Linked DNA regions of Callithrix jacchus. The protein of the gene in region 3 interacts with the protein of the main gene of each other region in a biochemical or structural test. Links are inferred from orthologs where the notes say so. Each region holds a gene or a part of one and is shown on either strand. Other genes may lie near its edges. The genes, in order: TBL1X, NCOA6 and THRB.

Region 1 (4,432 bases), on a different chromosome or scaffold from region 3:
CAAAAAAAATTAGCCGGGCGTGGTGGCTTGCGCCTGTCATCCCAGTTACTCGGGAGGCTGAGGCAGGGGAATTGCTTGAATCAGGGAGGTGGAGGTTTCATTGAGCCGAGATCGTGTCACTGTACTCCAGCCTGGGTGACAGTGCGAAACACTGCCAGACTACATAAAAACAAAAAACAAAAAACCTCACCTCGGGTCCCCCTCCCCCCACAACCAGAACAACAAATGGTCTAGTGTTCGAGGAAGAGCAAGTGAGTTTATAGTTTATACTTCTGAGTGTACCGGGCTCTTAGCACGAAGCTTATTATGTAGTAAAGGAAGGGGCAAACTTATTTGAAAAATATTCAACAAGGCTGACCCAAGAGGTGCTGGGTAGGGGGAGCGGAGATCTGTTTAACTGAATTAAGGTCGCGAGTCGTGGGGAGTCGACATCAAGGTGGAGGGGAGGAAGGAGCGCTGGGGACTTGGGTGCACCAGGGCCAGGCAGTGTAAGCCGTTACGTCAAACACTTAGCAAGGGCCCGAGGGCTGAAGCCTAAGGTTGGGGGTGGGGGTGATGAAGCCCGCTGGCCCAGGTCCCCTAACCTCCTCCTCAGCCCCCACCCCTGAGCTCCGGCCACTCTGACGGGGTCTGAGTTTGTCCCTAAGCATTTCTGGCTCTTCCCGGGAGGTGTTTTGCAAAGGTGGAGGTTCCGCCGGAGTCCCCACTTCTTGAGGTGGGGAAAGATAACTGGGGTGTCTTTTAAAACGCCGATTTTGAGGTAGATACACCCTCGGGCAGGTGGCTGGGGTTCTGTCAGGGAAGCCGGGTTGCTTCCTTTTTGGGATGGGGGAGGGTAACACTTTAGCAGTGACCGAGGTTCCCCTGCCCGCTATAAACCGAGGGGGTGGCCGAGGTTCCTGTCCTCTCCAGGCAGTCGTGGAAAGGCTGGGTTTGGGATGGAATGAGGGTAAGCCTGGGTTCCTCTCAGTCCCACGGGGGCCACGGGGAAGGGACCGGGCCCCGGCAACTAGGGAGAGGCCCGGGTTCCCCTCACCCACCCTAGGCGTGGGGGAGCGGGGAGAGCTGGGTAGGGACGCTAGTCCCCCGACCCAGGGGCAAGGGCTGGGTTGGGACGCGGGTCTCCCACTAGGTTCAGTGGGGGAGGGGCGGGGCTGGAGTCCCTATCCTCGTGGGGGAGGGGCTGGCTCGGGACGCGGCCCCCCCGGGGCGCAGGGGCGGGGCCGGGTGGGACGCGGGGTCGCCTCCCACGGCCGCGAGGGAGGGGCCGGCGGCGGGGGCGGCCCCCTAGGCTGTCCTCCCAGCTGGAGTCCGCGCGCTCGCAGCCGCTCCCCGCGGAGGTCACTGCCCGAGCCAGTCCCTCTCGCCGTCCCGCTCCCTCCCGCCGTCCCGCCCTCTCCCGCCGCCGCCGCCGCCGCCGCCGCCGCGCCCGCCTCAGCGCCCCCACTCCGCGCTTGGGAGCGAGGAGCCGCCAGCGCCCCCGCCCCGCTGCCGCCGCCGCAGCTCTCTCCGGCCGCCATTCGCCACCGAAACTTTCCAGCGCCCGCGCCCTCTCAGGGACTCGGCGGCGGCGGGGCGGGGGCGGCCCAGGGGCGGCGCGCCGCTGCTCCAGGGCGCCGGGCCCTCTTCGGCCGCCACACGGCAGGGGCTCGGAGGCTGCCTGCTGGAGGGAGGTTCGGAGCGCAGACCGGCGCGCGGCGCCGCCACAAGTTGCGCTGCTCGCGGTGAGGTGAGTGCGCGGGGCTCGGCGGGCCGGGCGCTGGGTCCGCAAACTTCTGCGGGGAGGCGGGTTCCGTGCTGACCCTCGGGGGTCCTGCCGGAGGCTCGGGGAGCCCGACGCTCCTCCCGCCCCTGGAACTCCTGGAGGCGCAGGTCGCCAGCTGTCCCCGCGGCGCTCGGACTGGTGTGCGGCGCGCTCCCCGGAGACTGAACAATACCCCGAGGTGGCGGTTCCCCAAAGTGGGGGTAGGAGACGGAGGTCGGCTGGGGGCTCCTTTGTTTTGGGGAGGGGGAGGCGGCCGGTAAGTTTCGGGAAGCACTCCGCTTCTCCTATGGTGCCTCTTTGTCTGCCGATCCTTAGGCTTGCTGGGTTAACCTGCGCCACCGTGGGCTCCGGGGCCCGAGGTGGAGGGCGGTAGCGGGATTTCCCCCTGTTGGGGAGGGGAGCCCCATTCATCCCCGCTACGCGGGCCGGCCCGCCGGCACCCGGTTGGAAGCGCAGCTGCGCGGAGTGGGGCGAGTGGCTGGTGAGGAGGCGCGGGCTCCGCGTCTGCTCAGTTTCTGAAGCGCAGAAACTGTCAAGGAAGTCGGGAGTCCCTGTCCTCTGCCCATCTCCCCGGCCCGAGCGCACGACCGGGCTGGGGGCACCCCTGGCCCGTCGAGGGTCTGCAGAGCGCCGCCCGGGGAGAGCGCAGACCTGTTGCTGCTCCTGGGCTCTGGCGGGTCGGGTCGGGTGGGTCTCGCAGATCCGGAGCTCTAGCCTTGCTGCGGGGGACTTTATCTAAGGATGGGACCGGTGCTCGGAGTGCGGTATGGGGAGTGTGCCTTCGGGAGTCGGGGATGGCCGGATCTGTGACAACTGTGGGTCGCTGGAGCCCCGCTAGTGCGGGTAAAGGGCCTGGACTTCACGTGCATCGCCTGTGCGCGGTCATACTGGGGCCAGGGCTCGCTCGCTGCAAGGCCTCGTGTTTCCCCAGCCAGCTGCGTTGGACGTTCCACAAAGGTAGGGACCATCGTTTATTTTCGAGTCAGTCAGTGATGTTCTGGAGCAAAACCTAAAAAGAAACAGAAACCCACCCTCTATTGTATTTGCAACTGTTTCTGCTTTGCATTGTCATGTGTGGCTTGACCTGCCTTCTGGATGTTTTCCATCTCCTGACACGCCGCCGAATCCCTGGTTTAACCTGGAAGGCGACCTCCCTGCTAAGGTCCCGGGCCATGGCTTTGGTGTCGGAAAGTGGCTCTTGACCATTTTACGAAAAGTTTACAAGTCCTACCTAGAAAAGATGCAATTAGGAAAATAAAATCTAGAAAAATGTTGAGTATGACATGCTTATTTTAAAGGGTTGTCATGTCTCAGGTGTGCTGCAGATTTTTGTGGAAAGCCACCAAACTGCGTAACTCATACAAACAACGAAAGTTGTTCACCACTGGATCACCGGCTCTTAAGGCGATTCCAGCCCTTCGGAATACACACACCTGTAGGACTGACATGGAGATGTGTGGCGTAGTGCAGACACCCTCGCTTCCCCACCCGCAGGTATTTTGCCCCTTTACTGGACTCAGAGAACTTCTCCCTGCCAGTAGTTTAAAGAGGAAACAGTTTGCAAAAAATAATAACTTTATTGTAGACACACTTAGAAGTGAATGTTTCAAATTCTGGAGTTTTCCCATCAATTATATCAGTACCACTGGTTCTGTGCATCATTCTTAGTTAGAAGCTTTTTTTCACCTTTTAAGGTGATGAGCAGAGGCCATCTCCAGCAGGTCGTGAGTGTCAGGAATTCAGATTCTCTGATCCACTCCTGCTGGGTAAGAGAACACCTCCGTTAGAACCTGGGCCTGGCCCCTTCCCAGTTTTCTACAAAACTGCCTTGCAGCACTGTCCTGTGGGCCTCCAGGCCTAGCCGATCATCACAGCTTCTCTGCCCAGCCAGGCAAGACCATCCTTGCGCTGCTTTCCTGTTGCCTTGCTTTGCTTTTTATTCTCCCTTAGGAAAAACAAAAAGACCTAGTACGCTACATCCGAGAGGTTGTTAATCTTTCACTACCACATGCATTGACAAATCAGTTTCAGCCAGGAAGCAACACTAAAGGCATATTATAAACACTTTTTTTTTTAGTTGGAAAGATAAACTTTTTCCCCATAACTATTTTTAGTGAGAGGGAGGTAACTGACCTCTTGAGCAGGAGACTGCGCTCGAGTTTTTCCCACTGGTCTTGCCCCTCCACTCCCGCCCTCACTTTCTGTGGGGCTCGACCAAATGGACCACACTGGCCAGACTGGCAAACTTGAAACCTACCGGAACCCAAAGAAAGGCTGAATGTGGGAAGGGGCTGAAGGAGTCACAGGTTTCTAAAGAGCAAGCAGAGCCTAGGCTGTGAACAGGAGTTTCACATCTCCAGGGGAGAAAGGCAGCTGTTAAGGAGTCCACTCGGGCTGCTGCCTGCCTGGCCAGCGAGAGCCTGACTTCAGATGGATGTGCCACCCAAGCCGGCTTCCTTCCAGCGCGGCCATCCCCATCAAATGTTTACAGATAATCTACTGCATGCCTGAAGGTTGCAGAAGTGAATTGGAAGCTGTTAAAAATGGAATTGGAACAAATTTAAAGTTAAGATGAAAGAGAATATGTTGAGTTTTCAGAGGAAGTCGGGTACTGTTTCCTTTTCTTGCCGAGGTTTGTTCTTGGCGGATGGGATCAGAGAGATTGAG
Region 2 (4,391 bases), on a different chromosome or scaffold from region 3:
GGGAAGGGTAGCTATCAAGAGCAAAAGCCAAAATAGAGCTACCATACAATTCAGCAATCCTACTCTTAGGTATACACCAGAAAAAAAGGAAATCAGTATACGGAAGCGATATCTGCACTCTCATGTTTACTGCAGCCCTGTTCGCAATAGCCAAGATTTGGAAGCAACCTAAGTGTCCATCAACAGATGAATAGGTAAATAAAATGTACATGTGCACAATAGAATACTATTCCGCCATTAAAAAAGAATGAGATCATGCCATTTACAACAATATGGATGTAACTGGAGGTCCTTGTTACATGAAAGAAGCCAGACACAGAGAGACAAACTTCCCATGTGATCACTTATTTATGGGAGCAAAAAATTCAAACAATTGAACTCATGGAGATACAGAGTAGAAGGAGGGTTACCAGAGGCTGGGAAGGTTAGTGGGAGGTGGCTGGGAAATGGGAATGATTAATGGTTACAAAAAATAAGATGAATAAGACATAGTATTTGCCGGCACAAGAAGGTGATGATAGTAAAAAAACAATTTACCTGCACATTTTAAAATAACTAGCATATAACTGGGTTGTAACACCAAAGATAAATGCTGAGGTGCGGCCAGGCACGGTGGCTCATGCCTGTAATCCTAGCACTCTGGGAGGCCGAGGTGGGTGGATAACCTGAGGTCGAGAGTTCAAGACCAGCCTGACCAACATGGTGAAACACCATCTTTTTTAAAAAAAATGCTGAGGTGCTAGATACCCCATTTACCCCATTTACCATGATGTGATTATTATGCATTGCATGCCTGTATCAAAATCTTATATACCCCATAAATATATACACCTACTGCGTACTCACAAAAATTAAAAAAATACATCAGTGTAGTGTGGGAAAAAGAACAAAAAAATTTAAAAAAAGAGTGAAAGCCAGATATGAATGCAGGCCTGAATGACAGACATCAAGTCCAGTGCTGAGGAGGCCTTTCTACATTTGGGAAGAGGGGAGGGGCCACACTCACTTGTTCGATCAAGAATTCTATTAACTGAGCATTTCGCTTGCTAGGGAGGTAATGATGGGAAAAAGAAGAGAGGGATTTGGAGGCAACTAATAATGAAAGCTTCTATCTATATCCCCATTAAGCTTATTATTAGACAGTATGTGTCAGGCACTGCGATAAGTGCTTTCCATGCCCCCCGCCATTTCTTCTTCAACAAGCACTATGAATTTCTCCATATTTCAATAGGTAAACTGAGGCTTGGAGTTGCCACGTCCAAGGGTACTTAGCCAGAGCGCTCGCAAAACGTTGTGCCGTGTGTGCTTCCGAAGTGGGACTCACTGGCGGGAGAACAGCCCTGGGAAGTCGACAGAGACCCACGATACACCCGCACTAAGCACTCAGCACCGAAGCGAGCTGGCGCGCGCTCCACCTCGCGCTCCCGGGAACGTCTGGTCACATGGGCGATGCCCCGCCCCTCGAGTCCGCCCCGCCCCTTCTCGCGCTCCCTCCCTCTCTCCCTCCCTCCCCCTCCCTCCCCGGCCCGGTCCGGCCCATCCCCCTCCCCGCCGGCTCCGTGAGGCCCTGCCGGGTCGGGCTGCGGGCGGCCGGGCGCGGGTGGCCGGACAGACGGGCGCACGCGAGGACTGACGGACGAACGCACGGAGGGCGGCGGGCACGCACGGCCCGGGCCGGCGCTCCAAGGCCCGCCCGGGAGGGCCGGGGCCGCGCTCAGGTGAGGCAACGGCGGCGCGGGCCCGTAAGGGGTGGGCCCGCCGGGCGTCCGCGGTCCGGGTCGGGTTGGCTTTGCTGGGAGGAGGCGCCGCCCGGGCCCGGCGCGGGAAAATGGCGCCCGGCGACCGTGCTGCACGGTCCGAGTGTGGGCCCGGCCCGGAGCCGCCCCGCCCGCCGCGCTGGTGTCCCAGTCGCCATGTTGGGGAGCGGGCCCTAGGCCTGCGGGCGGGGGCGCTGGAGGGAGCGGTGGCCCGGCGGGGTGGGGAGGGTGCTGGGCGCGGGGGCCGGTGCACTGAGGGAGTGCAGGGCTGGCTGGGGTCTGCACGGGGTGGCGCTTCAGGCCTGGGGAACTGGCGGGAGCTGGTCGTGGGGTCGTGGGGTCGTAGTCAGGGTCGCCGAGAAGGAACACCGGGACCGAAAGGAACCGGGATTGGGGTCCAAGGGCTGAAAGGATGGCAGGACGTGGAACTGGGTTAGGCCTTAGGCGGTGTATAGAGAGCCCTAGTGCTGGTAGGATCTGGGGATTGGGGTGGAGGCTTGGGGTCAGGCTCAGGCTGTCAGGGCTGGAACAGTTCTTTGCGGGAAAGGACGGAGGCGATTGATGAGAAATGAGGGCCCTTTGGATCCAGACGCTGGTATCAGATTGGGCAGTCCTTGGGGTAGTGGAACTGAATTGCAAAGCTGTGTAACTCACAAGGCTCTGAAGACTTCTGTCCCAAGGATCCTCCACCCCCTATTGGGGGAAGCAACAGGAAAAAGGTGTTTGATGAGGAGAGAACAGGGGGACTGAGGTTTGGGTGCAAGCTGGCCAGCAAAAGAGGTACAGAGAGTAGAACTGGTTGGCAAGAAAGGAGAAAACCTACATCAACTTTGGGAGTTGTGTGTGTCTTTAAAAGGAGGAACCCGCCTGTTTGGGGGCGGTGACCCAAGGTGTCTTCCCTGGAATGGGACAGCCCACAGCTTAAGAGCAGGGTCACCTGGAGAGGTCATCAGAAAGGCGTTATTGAAGCCAGTAAAATGGTGAAGAGTGAATGTATAAAAACTACAAAGACCTGAGAGATCAAGTAAAGATTTCAACTCAGGTAGTGATTTTAGCTGAAACATAGAAAGGTAAAGTTGACTTCTCAAGATCTTATAAGTTAGTGGCAGAGGGGCTACTGGAAGTGGTTTAAACACATTTCCTTAAAGGAATTTGCTGGTTGGGAGAAAGGTGTTAAGAAATGAAGCGTAACATTCTTGTGATGAAACTAGAAGCAAACAAACAAAAACAACAAGAAATGAAGCGTAACAGTATATACCAGAGAACAATTAAATTTGTTTTGTTCCTGTAATGAGTTTGGCAATGCAAAGGCCGAAGGGAATACAGTTACTTGGTATTTCCTGGCTCGTCTCTAATTGTGCAAAGAAGTTATCTTTGATACTTTCTAACTTTCTAGAGTTTTTAGAGATGCTCCGGCCAGCCACAGTGGCGCATGCCTGTAATCCCAGCCCTTTGGGAGGCCAAGGTGGGAGGATTCCTTGAGCCCAGGAGTTGGCAGACCCCATCTCTACAAAAAAGGCCAAAAAATTAGCCATCTGATGTGGCTTGTATCTGTAGTCCCAGCTACTCAGGAGGCTGAGGTGGGAGGATCGCTTGAGCCTGGGAGGTCAAGGCTGCAATGAGCCATGCTGTGATCATGCCATGACATTCCAGCCTGGGCGACAGAGCAAGATACTGTCTTAAAAAAAGAGATGCCTTCTCTTCTAGGTGTTTATCATAAAGGAACACAAAATCCTAAAAAAGAAAAGTGAACAATGGTAGAGACCCAGAGTCTATATTGTGTTCATCGAAGTTGGATCCTGTGAGAGAAGAATTCAAAGTTTGCATGGACTATGGGTCTGAAGGAAATATGCAAATCAGTCATGAAAAATAGGTCCAGGGCCCCATATAATCAAAGAGAATTAATGAACAAAAGGGTTATATATAAAATAAGATCGTCAATATCATATGTATATACAGTAACACAATTCATTTGTTCTGGGTTTGTTTTTTTTTTTCTTTTTGGTAGAGATGGGGTTTTACCGTGTTACCCAGGCTGGTCTTGAACTCCTGAGCTCAAGTGATCTGCCCATCTCGGCCTCCCAAAGTGCTGGGATTAACAGGCGTGAGCCACCATGGTGTGAGCCTTTTCTGGGTTTTTCTAATGCTGGAAGACCTGACTTTATCTGTGCCATGGACCCCTTTCAGAATAATATTTTTAATTGTATAAAATAAAATACATTGGATTATAAGGAACACCAATTATATTGAAATACAATTACTACACTATAAAAATCTAATATGCATATACTTGTTTATCAGCACATTAAGAAATCATATTTAGTGATGGATCCGATAATTATAATTTCAAAGATATGATGCGCTTAAAGGGTACTTTAAGATTATATGCAACAACTGTAGTATAATATAAAGATATTTGAGGGCAGGGCACGGTTGCTCACATCTATAATCCCAGCACTTTGGGAGGCTGAGGTGGGTGGATCATAAGGCCAAGAGATCAAGACCATCCTGGCCAACATGGTGAAACCCCGTCTCTACTAAAAATACAAAAATTAGCTGGGTGTGGAGGTGTGTGCCTGTAGTCCCAGCTACTCGGGAGGCTGAGGCAGGAGAATTGCTTGAACCTGGGAAGTG
Region 3 (4,320 bases):
AGGTCCTCATGTCATTCTCCTCCATTGTCCTACTTTGCGTAAAATAAACACCATGATACGTTGGTAACCCTTCTTTACCATCATGCAGCCTGCAGGACAACCCTCAGAGGTCCTGTTCAAATGGAACCCCAGTAGTTCACGTTGTTTCAGTAACATTGCAGTAAAATTGCCCTCCCCCATTATTATATAACATTGTTACCACCACAGTCTCATGAATTGTTTGAATTCCACACCTGTTATTTATTTCACGCTTTAATTGGCTCTCTAGTTCTGAAATTTTTAGGCAAAATGAGATCAGAAAGGCAAAGCCCTCGAACAAAGAGAAGCAACAGTTTTTGTTATATTTCGTCCTTGGTATGTATCCTTCTTAAAGAATTTAGCTCCCAAGTTATACTCAGGAAGAGAAAAAAATTAGAAGTTCCAGTAGGCCGAAAGGCCTGTAATCCACCATGTTGAAGGAAGATTTGCTTCACCTCATCTCCCTGTATTACTAAATTGTTCACAGGCTGTGACGACCCGGAGACTAGGTTGTCAACTGTTGGAGCCTACCTGTGCCAGACTTCTTCCTCAGTGGCCGACTTTTTCACCCACAGTTAGCCACCAGGGGGCCGCCTGCTTGGAATAAGTGGTGTAGACGCCACAGCTTTCCTCCAAACCAACCAAAACATTCCGGGGCAGCTTTGGAGCAAAGCCCAGGAACTTCCCTGCAAAGCAGAACAGCTCTCCAGCTACAGAAGCCGGCAAGTCCTATGGTGCAGCCTTATTAAGAGTAGAGAAGAAAGCGCGGATTTCTCACTGAGGACCAAAGGGAAATGGCGTGTCTGGGGCCTGCAACCTTCTTAGAAGTACATTAGTGAAACCCTGCTCATCCAAGAGAGTGGTTGTTAAGACTGCCGGCAGGGGTGGGGGGAGCCTCTCACCCCTTTCCCTGGGACACTCAGAAGAAGCGAAAATAAAACACACAGGTCACTGACTGGAAATTTAGAAAGTCCTCCAATAAATACCCTACACATTGTCAAGCAGCTGAGGATCCATATCGTCATAGCTCTATTACATTGCGTGTTACACGAATAGATGTGAATATTAAATTATGATGTCGGAATTATTTTAATATCGTCTATAAGAAATGAATTGTACTCTGTTGTCAAAGTAGTTTTGTTGCAACTATAGTTTCTTATTGACTACCTTTTCGCTGTCTGGCGACTCGGTATTTTCCAAGTATCCTTCTAGCTCAGAAAGCAAGTCTCTTCCTGGCATCCAGGACTTAAGGTCAGGGCATTGGAAAGACCTATATTAGCCCAGGAAAGGACTCTTTCTTCAAAAGTATACATTATTTTTGTCTTCTGATTTTATCTGTACATTTCCAGGGCAAAGACAAATTTATAGGGCGGCCCTTCTGGGACGTGTGAAGTGTCTCAGCCCTGAACGCACCTCTCCCACGATATGCATTATGGAGGTGGGGGTGTCCTTCTTAAGGGCAAGCCAGGCATGTCCCAAACTTCCATTCTCGAGTGGCGGTGGTGGTGAGAGAGCCGCCAGATGGCCGGGCCTGAGGAGGCCCGAGCAGGAGCCAGAACGCCGGGTCCTCCCGACACGCGCCACAAGTGGTTTGAGAGCGGAGGGAGGAGCGCGGTGGCACGGGTCGCGCCGGTCGGGCAGGGCACAGAAGGCCAGAGCGTGCTCCTGGAAGACTCGCCCGCGGGTCCCGTGTCATTCGCCCCCCATTCTTTCCTCTTCTCCAACTAGAGTGATGACGACCAAACCCACACCTACGCGCGCAGGCCATCGGGTGGGTGGACACGCGGCCACCAAACCCACAGCACCTTCACCACACTTGGGAGGGCACGGCCCGGATTAGGAGAAGGGGAAGCGCCGACACCTGGGAAGGCAGGTGCGGAAGCAGCCGGCCCCGGAATGGCGAGTGCGTAGGGCCGGGTGTCCGGGTCCGGGTCCACAAGCCCGGCGCTGTGAGCGCGTCGGAGCGCGGGCCCCGAGCCTGGTAGGGGGCGTCTGTGCTGGCCGGGCAGCCCGGGGCGGTGGCGGCGGCGGGGTGTGCGGCCAGGAGGCCATTTCCTCGCTGCGCCCCTGCCGGAGCCGGGTTTGCCTGCTCTTGGCCGCCGCCGCCGCCGCGCGAGTCGGACCGCCGGGAGGGCTGAAGGGAAACCAGGTCACCGGTTCGCAGACTCGGCGCGGAGCAGGCGCCCCGGGCCCAGAGTAAGCAGCGTCTGGGGAGCGGGCCGGGGCGGGCCGGGCACGCGGGGGACCCGGAGAGGCGGGGACTCTGGTGCCCCGGCCACACTCTCTTCCTACGCCTATAAAAGTGGAGAGACCGGGGAGGTCCAGCGCGGCCCTGGCTGCGGCCGCCTCTCCGCCCAAGGAGTTGACATTTTGCAGGACTCGCGCGACGCCCAGTCGCCGGCGCTCCCCGGGACCCCGCCGCCGGGAGGAGGGGGCGGAGGAGGGTGGAGACTGCGGGGCTTGGCCAAGGAAGGCGCACATCCTCGGGCGGGCGGCCGTGACGCGGCGGGGATTAACTTTGCATGAATAATGTGAGTGCGCTTGGAAAAGAGACCTCCTGCTCCGCGGGCTCGGGGCAAGGGCCCGCAGGCTACCTTCCCCTGTCAGGGGCGCTCAACCCAACCGGCTCCAGGGCACTGGTAATTTGTCTAGAGGACAGCGCGGAGGCAGCGGGGTGAGGGGAGGAGGGGGCGACAGTTCCAACTGTCCACAGGGTGGGCGGGATGGTGACGGGGTGTCGCAGGAACCCGGAGGGGTGCAGGCAGCAAAGCGTAGCGCGCGCGGGCGGGCGGGCGTGGGTGGTGGGGGTGTCATTAGCCCGATTACCTGCCTCCGCGGGGCTTCTGCGCCCCGGATCTGGGAGGAGGTGCCCTCTCGTGTTCGGGCACTGCGCGGCGGCAGGCTGCGAGCCACAGTGTGGACATTGGTGGAACAGGGTGGCTGGGGGCCCCCTCCAATCGCAGAGGCTCTGTTCCTCAAACCCCAAGCCCAGCTGTTGACATGTTCCTTGTGAAATGGAGTTTGGCATCCTCAGCGCCGAACCCAGTGGAAGTTTCCGTGATGAGGAAGTTGTGTGACACGGGGGTTCGGAAAAGGTTTGCAGGCACAGGGGGGAGGGTTAAAGGGATTGTGGGTCTCCCATCCCCCCTTTTTCGCCTGCCCCGGAACTCTGGGGCTTGGAAAGGAGAATTATCCTGAATGTTGGCGTGCGCAGTGGCCGGTGCCTGGCGACTGGGCTTCTCTCCGCCTCCTGGGGGCTCGGCTGGGATTTTGCTAGCCTCCTGGGTCGCGCTCCTTTGCTTTGCTTCTCTTGGCGTAGCATCTTCCTCTGGGTCGCCTCGAATTGGTTGTGATACCAGTTTTGCCAGCTGTGTGACCTCCACCCCCTCGGAGAAGGACTCATTTGGGGAATTTTCATTCTTAGTGGATTTTGTCCTTGTTAGCGGCAGTTGTCATTTTGGGGGGAGGATTTCCCAATGACCATTGTGGGGTTATTATTAGCGCTAATTCTTAAGCCCTCTAATTTATTTTAAGGAGAGGAGAGGGAGGATATGAGATGAGTTTTTTTTTTTTAAGATTAAATGTACAAGTTTCCCCAAATGGAAAATTTTAAAAGAAGGATCTAGAAGCATAATAATTCATAAAGTGAGTCAAAGAAAGGGAAGAGTTTACCTGAACAGCCAAGTTCAGACTCTCCGTTCTCCTTTCTCCACATACAGTTAGGATTTTTGAAGATTCAAACACTGCGTAATCAGTAAACGCATTTGAAATACATTCTTCCTCAGCATGTTATTGGTCTTGGGTACTAGTCAGATTCAGTTTTAAAGACCTGTTTTGAAGTTCAAGAAATTAAGCATTGCTTACACAGGGTATTAATACCAAGCAGAGCAATTTATATGATGATAAATGCATTGGTAATGTAGACCTGTTGGCCAATCTTCACATTATTTAGCCTTAGTTCAGTTTAATTGTAAGAATGTGTAGCATGCACTGCACACAAAGAAATAAAAATTGCATTTTAGTCAACATGTTCATGATTCATTCTGAATATCCAGTGACTGACCTGCTCCCCAATTCACTTCTGCTTAATTGTTTCTAATTCTGAAATAAGTCAGAGGCTAGGAAACAATGAAAAACGTGTTTCAGTGCTAAATATTTGAAGCAGTTGATGTTTTTAGGATGTTTTCATGCTAGGTGGCTGTTTTAATTGAGTCAAACAAATTCAGTACCAAGTGATTTGTTTGGTGTATTTCATACAAAGGCATTGGTGAACAATCATTTATTATTTGTGCATGTTAAAGA

The links.
Region 1: the proteins of THRB (region 3) and TBL1X form a complex in vitro, tested with the Homo sapiens proteins (2 studies listed by BioGRID). The link is inferred for Callithrix jacchus from reciprocal best matches to the Homo sapiens genes THRB and TBL1X.
Region 2: the proteins of THRB (region 3) and NCOA6 form a complex in vitro, tested with the Homo sapiens proteins (2 studies listed by BioGRID). The link is inferred for Callithrix jacchus from reciprocal best matches to the Homo sapiens genes THRB and NCOA6.

Annotation. Positions count from the first base shown.
Region 1 is NC_133524.1:9,682,739-9,687,170, forward strand, and holds the start of TBL1X (F-box-like/WD repeat-containing protein TBL1X), read left to right. Parts: upstream 1-1,590; 5' UTR 1,591-1,729; intron 1,730-2,211; exon of another isoform or gene 2,212-2,722; intron 2,723-4,432. UniProt on the Homo sapiens protein: F-box-like protein involved in the recruitment of the ubiquitin/19S proteasome complex to nuclear receptor-regulated transcription units. Plays an essential role in transcription activation mediated by nuclear receptors.
Region 2 is NC_133506.1:4,479,893-4,484,283, forward strand, and holds the start of NCOA6 (nuclear receptor coactivator 6), read left to right. Parts: upstream 1-1,523; 5' UTR 1,524-1,718; intron 1,719-4,391. UniProt on the Homo sapiens protein: Nuclear receptor coactivator that directly binds nuclear receptors and stimulates the transcriptional activities in a hormone-dependent fashion. Coactivates expression in an agonist- and AF2-dependent manner.
Region 3 is NC_133518.1:62,843,132-62,847,451, reverse strand, and holds the start of THRB (thyroid hormone receptor beta), read left to right. Parts: upstream 1-1,503; 5' UTR 1,504-1,789; intron 1,790-1,791; exon of another isoform or gene 1,792-2,214; intron 2,215-2,344; exon of another isoform or gene 2,345-2,692; intron 2,693-2,900; exon of another isoform or gene 2,901-3,113; intron 3,114-4,320.